Linked DNA regions of Canis lupus familiaris. The protein of the gene in region 2 interacts with the protein of the main gene of each other region in a biochemical or structural test. Links are inferred from orthologs where the notes say so. Each region holds a gene or a part of one and is shown on either strand. Other genes may lie near its edges.

Evidence for each region.
Region 1: of the proteins of PSRC1 (region 2) and ASB7, one has a biochemical effect on the other in vitro, tested with the Homo sapiens proteins (2 studies listed by BioGRID, with this or other methods). The link is inferred for Canis lupus familiaris from reciprocal best matches to the Homo sapiens genes PSRC1 and ASB7.

Annotation. Positions count from the first base shown.
Region 1 is NC_049224.1:40,738,696-40,742,921, forward strand, and holds part of ASB7 (ankyrin repeat and SOCS box protein 7), read right to left. Parts: intron 2,338-4,226; coding exon 2,198-2,337; 3' UTR 1-2,197. UniProt on the Homo sapiens protein: Probable substrate-recognition component of a SCF-like ECS (Elongin-Cullin-SOCS-box protein) E3 ubiquitin-protein ligase complex which mediates the ubiquitination and subsequent proteasomal degradation of target proteins.
Region 2 is NC_049227.1:42,995,131-43,000,681, reverse strand, and holds the start of PSRC1 (proline/serine-rich coiled-coil protein 1), read right to left. Parts: upstream 3,649-5,551; 5' UTR 3,345-3,648; intron 3,059-3,344; 5' UTR 3,020-3,058; coding exon 3,001-3,019; intron 2,910-3,000; coding exon 2,852-2,909; intron 2,383-2,851; coding exon 1,938-2,382; intron 1,560-1,937; coding exon 1,445-1,559; intron 1,355-1,444; coding exon 1,106-1,354; intron 810-1,105; coding exon 716-809; coding exon of another isoform or gene 712-715; intron 518-711; coding exon 514-517; 3' UTR 1-513. UniProt on the Homo sapiens protein: Required for normal progression through mitosis. Required for normal congress of chromosomes at the metaphase plate, and for normal rate of chromosomal segregation during anaphase. Plays a role in the regulation of mitotic spindle dynamics.

The DNA.
Region 1 (4,226 bases), on a different chromosome or scaffold from region 2:
TCTTTTTACTTGGAATTCCCTGACTCAAACTCAGTGGCTAACATGGTTTGAAGACCTCTGAATGGTTGGGGAAAGAAAATCATTTTCATCTACCTGAATAAATTAATACACGTTTGGGGAAATAAGCCCTGTGTGAAGGTAACATTACTATCACTGCTCAGAGTGCAGGGTCCCGGGCGCCCTCCCCAGCTCCTTGTCTCCCTGGGACTAGGGTTTGAGGGGGAAGTAACACTCAATTCATTTCTGGCCATGCCATGTTCCCGACACTGCAGGTATGTCTCAATTCTGACTTGGGTGCTGGTTGAAAGAATGGGAACACAGCTCAGCTGCACAAGGCAATCTCTCTCAGAAGATAACTTTCTGGAGATGGAGACCACCCATTTCTATCCATATCCATCAGGGGTTCAGTTAGTTTTGGAATGGTAACAAAACTGGCCACACTCTTGTTGGCTCCCTACAAAAACAGTCAATGTACCCCATCAGCGATTCCCCCCAAGTCATTCTTTTTCTGAAGCTGCATGTTCTTCAGGAACCTGTGTGCTGCCCAGGCACAAGCAGATCATATACACCAATGCCAAAGCTACTCTGAATCCAAGAGAACAGACTTTGTGCTTGAGAAAATATTTACTGCTGGCTCTTTAAAAAAGGTAAAGCCAGAGTAGACTCTTAATTCTTAGTTTATACTTTCCAGGTGAAATAGTTTTATACTTGTGACTCAAAACTAAAAATTCAGACAAGAGAAGCCCTTTATCTTGTAAACTTCTGATAACAAATTTATTACTAGTGTGTAAATATTTTGAAATTGCCCAAAGCACTAAGAACAATACTGGGATATTTGAAAAGGTTCTTCTGAAACTAAGATGACGACAGATAAAGCACAGAACACATTTCCAAGGGTATCAGCACAGGTCCCCAATGTCTCTGGAACCTTTCTTATTGTTTCTGACACTTTATCATAACTGTGTTTACACTGCAAACATATGCCAAATCAACCCAGAAAATAAAATAACCATCCCGAAGAGCTTCACTGTGCATAACTTTAAAACAGATAGGAAATGTTGAATTAGCATATCAGGAATTAACCAGACTTACAAGTGTGTACCTATTAGAAATTGTACCCTTTAGAAAAAAAAAATTTAAACTGGGAAGAAAAGGGGGGAAAAAAACCACCTTAAACCACCCCAAATTATTTAACCAGTAAAGCCAAACGGTTTAACAATATTTTGGGCTATTTTTAGGGACGACTCTACCACCAGGATATGAAATCTTCTGCTTAAAGTGAAGTAAAAGACAAAGCTTACAATGAAAACTGCAATTGACATACTCTGGTCCTGCAAGTAAAATGAAAGTGGCGGTTCCTATTCTCATGGGCATGTCAAAGCCGGCTGTGGAATGAGAAACACTGAGTGAAATAATGGATAAAATACACCAGAAAGAGTATTGCACGGGAGGCACTGTTTTAAAAACAGAATACACTGGCTTTATAAAGTTATTTTCTTTCCCATTAATTATTTTAAAAGCACGATTCAACGAGAGACAGAAGTTGAGACCCGATGTCTCTGGTAGTGTACTACAGTTGTTAAAAAAATAAGTTAAAAACAAGAGCACACCAACAGGAAAGCAGAGGTACTGGATTTATGTCATCCGAGAGCTACATTAATTAGGAAAGGAACGGTCTGAAACAGCCAATTTGTACTCATTAAAAATGAATGAGGTGACAGAGTTACTTTAAAAATCTCTTAGGGCATTTTCCAGTAGAACCCAGGACCCCCCTGGGTGAAACTGTGCCTTCAAACCTTAACAAGTGCTCTGCTGGTTTATAATGTCGTGCACGCCCATGAACCCATAAATTTGGAAAGGGTAAATTCTCCACTCCAGCCCTGCTTGTGTCATTTTGGAAAAACAATTTTTGTAAATTCAATATTGTATAGAAAGCTTGGACCTCTTAAACCTGGACCAAGAAACCAAATTAAGACCTTCAAGCATGTGGTGTGTGTGTGTTTATATATATAAAAAAGTCCCTCCCCTACCATGAAAACCAACCAACCAAACAAACAAACGAAAAACCTAAAAGTGTATACCTGCTTTCTGACTTCACAGCAAATCAGAAATTGCATAGGATATACTTTGTGCAAGGCAAAAAGCCTTTTAAGTATCTGGAATATAACTCCTAATCTTGCTCACAGTTCTGTGTACATCAGATATCATCAAATTTGTGTTTTAAGTAGTCTTTCATGACCTTGGCAATTGGTAGTTCATCAAGTAGCTTTAGGTTTTGAAGGCCTATACACTGTCGAATTTTAATTCGGCACAGGTCCTGCAAGTTTCTGGGCTGTCCTAAAAAGACAGAAAAAAGAAACTGTTACAAAGCTACACAGCACAGTATTTAAGGCAGGTTTTTGGGTTCTGAAAAGAACAGTTTGCTTCACCGGGACATGTCGCTTCCCATGCATGTGGACTTCCCATGCAAAGGACCAGACAGATTTTCACTGAGAGGACTTGGGGAGACTTCACGTGAGGTCTCATCAGATGCTTTTCACAACCCTGGGGTGATGGATATTTTTAACTCCATGTTACAAATAAGGACTCAAAGGATTAGGGATTTGAGCAAATTGCTCAATGTCAGGTGACCAATTTAAAGCTTTTTAGACAGAGACTAAAACCAGTTCTTCTGAGTCAAAGCCTGGTATTCTTTTTATTACAAAAGAGAATGGCGGTTTTCATCCTGGGATGCCTCTAATATGTTGAGTGAACCTAGGTAAGCAAATCATCCCTCTGGGCCAAAGTTTCTCCATCTGAAAAGTGGGGGGACCAAATGAGATGCTGTCTAATGGGGCCTCTCCTTTCAGCTCACTGTCTAGGACACTGGAGCCTAGACATATAGCATTATCTGCAGGGAACTTTCCCAAGTGACATCTGCCACCTGGTTGCCATGATTCTGGACATAGGAGACTCTTGGCTTTGGGCATGAGACTGGGGCGGGGGAGGTAGAAAAAGCACCCCAAGCTATTCTGAATCTATGTCTCTTCAAATCTCGCATCCCTCAGCATGTGCGAATAAAAACCACTGCTGTAACTTAACTCAAAAGAAAAATTACAAAAAATCAGTTTTTTCACTTTTGAAGACTGTATTTTACCAAAACGACTTAAATGACCCCAAACACAGGCAAGAATTCTAAGCAACAGTGCCTCAGTCATATCTGGACTCACATAAATTCTCCTTTCAGATTAAATGCTAACGAACGGCAAAAGCTGACATGTTGAATGCTTACTCTGTGCCATGTATCCTTAAGCTCTCCACATACACTAACTCGTTTCATCCTTTTATGAGGGAAGTACTTTGATCATCGTCCCCATTTTACAGACTCCTTGTGTCTCAGAGAGATTAAGTAACATGCTCAAAGTCAAGTAGAATGCCATACTTCAGCGATCTCAAACTTCTTGGTCTCAAATCCTCTTTGCATTTTAAAAATTTATCACAGACCCAAAAGAATTTCCAATTTTGTGGGTTATAACTATCAATAATTACCATATTAGAAGTTAAAGCAAATTTTAGAAATACTTATTCATTTAAAAAATAAAAATAAGCCCATTACACATGGCCATTGATAACACTGGTATAAAAACAACAGTATCTTAAAAAATAGTAAGAAGAATGATGTTCTTTCACATTTTTGCAAAATTCTTAAAAAGGATGTTTTAACAGATGACAACTGAGTTCTCATACATGCTTCTACATTCAATCTGCTGTAATAAAATCATCGTGTCTCTGGACAAGTCCACTTACACTCACGAAAGAAGAACATGAAAAAGGCAGATAATGTCTCTGTATTATGAAAATCATTTTGACCTCAGAGAGGTGAAAGGAGTCCCTAAGCCATACATGGTGAACCACTGCCAAAATTAGTGCTTCACCCTTTACTTGAACTGTCCTTGTTTATAGTAATCATCATTATTCAAAATTAAGTAATTCTTCATAAATGAAAAAGGCTCCTTAAATCTCTTATAAGGCCTGTGTGAACATGTGCTTTCTAAGAGTTACTTAACACATGGTTTTCTTTTAACAGAATTGTAGGAGCTACTGCTTTCCTAGAAATGCCTGTAAACCTGGAGCATGTGCAGCTACGGGTATCTGCACACCAATCTGTATGAGGCTGTGATACACACACACTCATGTGTCTCTCGCCAAGATGTGTCTTCTCCATTTTCCAGATGTCTGCTAAAAGG
Region 2 (5,551 bases):
AGGCCAGGTGCCTGCCTCTGCCTCTCCAAACAGGCCTGCGTCCAGTAGAGGATGTGATTCAGGGCCACTCCTCAGAGAGCAAGGAGGTTAGCTACAGAGGCCAGCTACAGAGGCCATTCACATGTAAATGTCCAGTGAACCAATGCCTGGGAAGATTATCAAACTCTCTGGGACTGAACACAAGAGTGGGGGTGGATGAGGACAGACTATTCTCCCGCATTTCTCATTTTCTGCTTGTTATTTCACTGTTGGGAGGTGACCTCTTTTCCCTAATCCTCTTTGGACCCACAGGGTTTGATTCCCCTCCAGCTCAACCCTAATCCACCCCATCTCCCATCTCTTTATTCCTGGGGCACCAGCCCTAGTGGCATCTCTTCCTCCTGCTTCTGGGCCAGAATCTGCTAGAGTCAGGGCCTGTCTTCCACGGAAGGGCTTGCGAGGCTGAGTATAGGTGAGCCCAGGCAGTGACTGTAGTGGTTTGCTACTGAATTCTTGCTTGCTGTCCTGATCTCTTTACCTAAAGAGTCAGAAGGAAGAGCTGCTTTAAATTGTCCCGGCTGAGTTCAAGTTTCTCAGGGAAGGAAGAAATGGGACTCCCTACCCCTCCAGGCTCCCCTCCTCATCCCCATCTTGCCACACAAGACTCAGGGCTCATGCGCATAACATTTCTGGAGCCCAGATGACAGGGGAGAGAGAGCATCTCAACCAGTCTTACCTGGTAGGTCCTGGGACTGCAACTTTCTTGGGAGGCTGCAGATTGCTACGAGTGGCACCAGAGACAGGAAGATTCAGTCTCTGGGTAACAGGAACTTGAGGGTTGACAAAAAAAATGAGTTAGAGAGTTCAAGTGACCTTCTCAGAGTGAGTTTCTTGCCACCCAAGGTAAAAAAAAAAAAAAAAATAATGTATTTGAAAACCAGGGTTCAAACTCTGCCCGGGCCCACATCCTCTCTCTAACTCAGTATCCTCATCTTCAAATTGAGTTGTAATGAAGACAGACAGAGAAAGTGGTTACTGTGCCCAGCTCTGGGACGGCGCATTCAAGTTGGGCAACGGTAAGCATTCTTCCACCTGATTTCCAACTGTTATGTCCACTCTTCCTCACCTCTGTGCCCTGCAGCGCTTGGTCGTGGAAGTCCTTTCCGAGTTGGCAGAGAGGCTGGAGGCAGGGCACCTTTGCTAGGTGGTACACTCCGGCTGGTGAGTGGCATTCGGCTGGCAGGCCTGGGGATGGCCGAGGGAACAGGCAGTCGACTGGAAGGCTTGGCAGCTGCTCCCTGTGGCCGAGAGAGGCGCTGAGAGTTGCCGGTTGGAGGCTGTGGGGCCAAGACTGGCCTGACAGGCGCAGGCGGACCTGGTGGAGAGGAGTAGAGGAATTTTAGCATCAGCTTCACATCCTTTCCCCTCACATTCACCCACAGCTTTGCTGCCCAAGCCTTCTCACTTGCTGTTGCTCTCCCACTGGGGCCAGCTTTGCTCCGGATTGGAGGAGTGGATCGGGCAAGAGGAGAAGACGCTGGGGTTTTGGATCCAGGGAACAGATTGCAAGTGGGTGACTCCTGAAATACAAAGAGAGAAAAAATAGGACTAGAATGGAAAAAGAATCTGTTCTGCTGGCTGTTGGAGAAATAAGAGGTGGAGAGTTGTCTAGATCCCAGTAAGGAAGAGCAGACTTTTGCCAACATCATCATCCTCACCAATACCATTTATCACGAGCTTATTATAAACACTATAGAAAAAAAAAAAAAAACACTATAGAGATATGTGCAGTCACTGTGATACAGTAAGTGCTTTGCTTATGGTATTTTGCTTAATTCCAACAATTCTGAGGTAGAATTTTACTATCTCCATTTTACCAACAAGGAAACCACTCTGGCTGTACCAAATCACACACTGTATCTGAGGGCATATGTCCAACCCAGACCCTCCAAACTCACCCTCTTCACACTCGAAGGCCTCTTTCCAGATGTTGCCCGAAGAGCCCTGACTGACCCCTTCTTATCGCTGCTCCGGAGTCGAGGTGTCAGGCTGCTTGGGGAGGGGGTGCTCCGAGTCAAAGAACTCACAGTGGGCAGCAGGTCTCGGACTGGACTGTCTTTCAGCACAAAGGTCTCCCGTCGAGGGCTGGGCTTCACCTTGCGAGGCCCCAGGCTCTCACCTGTGCTGTCCTGCTCCTGCAGGGCACACTGCTCCAGCTGGGCTGCCAGCCGGTTGGCCTCGTGGAGAATCTCCTCCAGCTTCTCTGGACTAAGGGGGCCTAAGCTGAGCCTCACCCCTGGGGGTGCTGGGGCCACTGCATTTGGGTCACTTCGATTGGAGAGTCCTCTTCGGAGGGGTTTCTCTGGAGTCACCAACACTGCTACGTCCTCCTCCTCCTCACGACTGAGACAGAGAACAAACCAGGCACCACGCCCACGCAGATGAGAGCAGGAGACTGTGCAAAGGAGACTGGGCAACCTCCCCACGCCACTACAAAGCCAGGGAGACAGCCCCAAACCCTGATGCCCATGCTGGCTGTGAGATCTGGCCTCTAGGTGATGAGACAGACACCCGGTTCTAGGGGGCCTAATATGCCTTGAGCACTTGGCAACATTGGAAATGATGCCAGGATGAAGATGCAACAAATCCACTTACCCTGCTTCTTAACATCCTGAAACCTCATTCCAGCTTATCCGTTTCCCTTCCCCCAGCACTGTCACAGAGGCCCATGTCAACAAGTCACTCAGCAGCCCCACCGCACCCAGCCTGGCTACATCACCAACCCAGACCCCTGAAGCCGGTAATTCAGCTGTAAGGGGTTGGAGACAAAGAGGTATAGTTGGAGGAAAGCAACGAGGTTAGAGGACGGTACCTGTCACACGGCGACAGCCCTCCAAAGTCCAAGGTCTCGTCCGCTATAAACTTCACATCTGTGGGGGAGGAAGGGATGAATGCCAGCCTCCGGTCGCTGCCACGGCTCTCGGTCGCAGCGCCTCATTCTTCCCTTCTTCCTTTCCTTACCTTCCTCCAAATCTTCCATGTTCCCGCCGGCAGGAGCGCGAGTCAGCTGAGACCTGAGCTGGAGAGAAAATGCACCCTTGCTTCAGGTCTCCATCCTGCCCGAGGCTCCCAGCTGCACGCAGGGTGCAAACCAGGGGTGAGGATCACGCTGGGGGTAAAGCAGGGTTCCCAGGAGTAGCACCTGCCCCTGCGACCTCCGGGGAAGGTGCGGAGAGCGCGCCACCCTCCCTCCTCAGGCGGCCCAGCCGCCCCGCTACGAGCTGGCCTCTCCTCAACGGGGGCGGCCTGCACGCCCTATCTCCTTCCCCGCCACCATTCTCCGCTTCTTCCTCTCCCCAAATTACCTCTCCACTCCCACGGCACCGCACCCACACCACACCTCCAGGCCACCCTCCGTCTTCACTTTCCGCCCCGCCTCACCTCTTGCAGAAGGCGCCCGCCTCCCACCGCTTAGCCCCGGGAAACAGCCCCGAGGGGGTGGGGCTCCTTTCGAATCTCTCGGGCTCCACCCCCTCCGACCACCTGCGCCCAGTGATTGGTGGATACCAGCATCCCGCCCTCGGGGGCGGGGCGGCGAAAAGCCGCCGGCCGGAAGTCTGCAGGTGGGGGCCGTGCGGAGAGCAGTACTAAGAAAGACTTCATCCGGAGGGCTGAAGCCGGGAAGCCGCGAGCGCGCGCGCGTGCCCGGAAGACCCCCCCCCCCAGGAGGCGGGGCCTCGTGACGGCGCGCGACGGACCTGACCAATGAATGTAGGCCTCGCGCCCGGCGAGCTCCTCCCCTTCCCCGCCCCCTCCCCGGCGGTGGGGCCGCGGCTCAGCCTTCTGCCCGAAGACTGGCGCTGCGCCTGAGGAAATTCGCTTCCGGAGGTTTGCTCCTTGTGCAAGCGCCGCGTTTGCCAGGTCTCGTCGGTTGTGATTTTTACACGTTACGGAAGCAGCGGGACATTGCTGTTCTAGCGTATTGAGGTTCTCTCAGTACATCTTCCATCGTCTTTAAGCGAGGGCATTCGGAACCCGAGGTAGCCGAGGTGTGAAGAGAATCGGCTTTCGGGACGGGGAGGTCTGAGTCCGATTGCCGCGAGGCTCCATGTCAGGAGGCGGGCGGGCTTGAGCGTACTTGACCCCCGGCTTCTCTGCGGGGCGAGGATGCGGAGCGGCAGTCGGTTCGGGGTTCGGGGTTCGAGCTGCCGCCTCGAGTTTTCTGCCGCGTGCCTCGGGGGCTTTTGAGCGTGTTTGCAGCTTGCTGCCTCCCACTGCGAGCTGTGTTTGTGAGGTGCTTAACCCTCCTCCGAGATTTTCTCTTTGTTGTTTACCAGGGGTTGCCTGGGAATAGGCCGGGCCGCCAGCTGACAGGGCTTTTTAGAAGTAGTTCTAAACATTTATCTTTTTGTTTTAGTTTTTAAAGATTTTATTTATTTATTCATGAGGGACACACAGAGAGAGGCATAGACCCAGGCGAGGGAGAAGCAGGCTCCCTGCGGGAGGCCGGATGCGGGACTCGATCCGGACCCGGGGTCACGCCCTGAGCCGGAGGCCGACCTCCACCGTTGAGGCACCGGGGGTCCCTGTTCTAAACTTTTAAAAGACCGGCTGGCGAGCTTAGTCTCCAGGGTTGATAACCATCATTTTGGCTATTTATGGGCTTTGGGGGTCCACTTCCTAGACCCCTGAGGTGTGCAGGCGTCAGCGGTTGCTGGGATAAATGCCGCGGCGAGCGCAGGAGCCTGGGAGTTGGTCGGTGCTGAGGGAAAGGGTGGGGAGGCTTGTGTGAAGAAGAGCTGAGAGAAGAGGGTGGCCTGGTCTTCTTCAGGCCTGCTGGTGCGGGTGGAAGCCTAGTTGCTGGCCCTGGGGCTGCCTCGGGTTCTGTGGAGGTGGGAGAACGGGAGCCAGTAGCTTCCCTGTCTCCGGGCAGGTCGTGGCAAAGTCCCGTGGAGGAAGAGAAGCGCTGGGAGCCTGCGTTCCTGCCTTGCCTTGCAGGGAAACCCAGCACTTGCTGCTTCCCCAACCTCGGATGAGCGTCGCAGGCAGTGTTAGCAAATTGGAAGTTGGTTTCTCCTAAGGAAACTCTTCAGTTTCCTGTCACGAAATTATGATTTTGAAAGCTGTTGCAGTACAAGACAAAAAGCAATCGAACTACTTGCTCCTCCATCAGAATAACAACAGAAGCAGAAAATATAGGTTTCAGGCACAAGAGTTCTTTACTCAGCCTCAGCCTCAGGTTTCTACCCTGGGAATTATTTGTCCCTCTCAGCTCAACCTCAAAATGATATGTATGAAGAGATGTTTAAGATTTAGGGTAGTGAGGGACGCCTGCTGGCTCAGCAGTTGGGCATCTGCCTTCAGCGCAGGGCGTGATCCTGGGATCCGGGATCAAGTCCCTGGTTGGGCTCCGGGCATGGAGCCTGCTTCTCCCTCTGCCTCTGACTCTCTCTCTGTCTCTCTCATGAATAAATAAACAAAATCTCAAAGAAAAAAAAAAAGATCTAGGGTAGTGAATACGTGAATTAATAAAGAGATTACACCTGCTCCCATGCACATGGTAGGGCTTAGT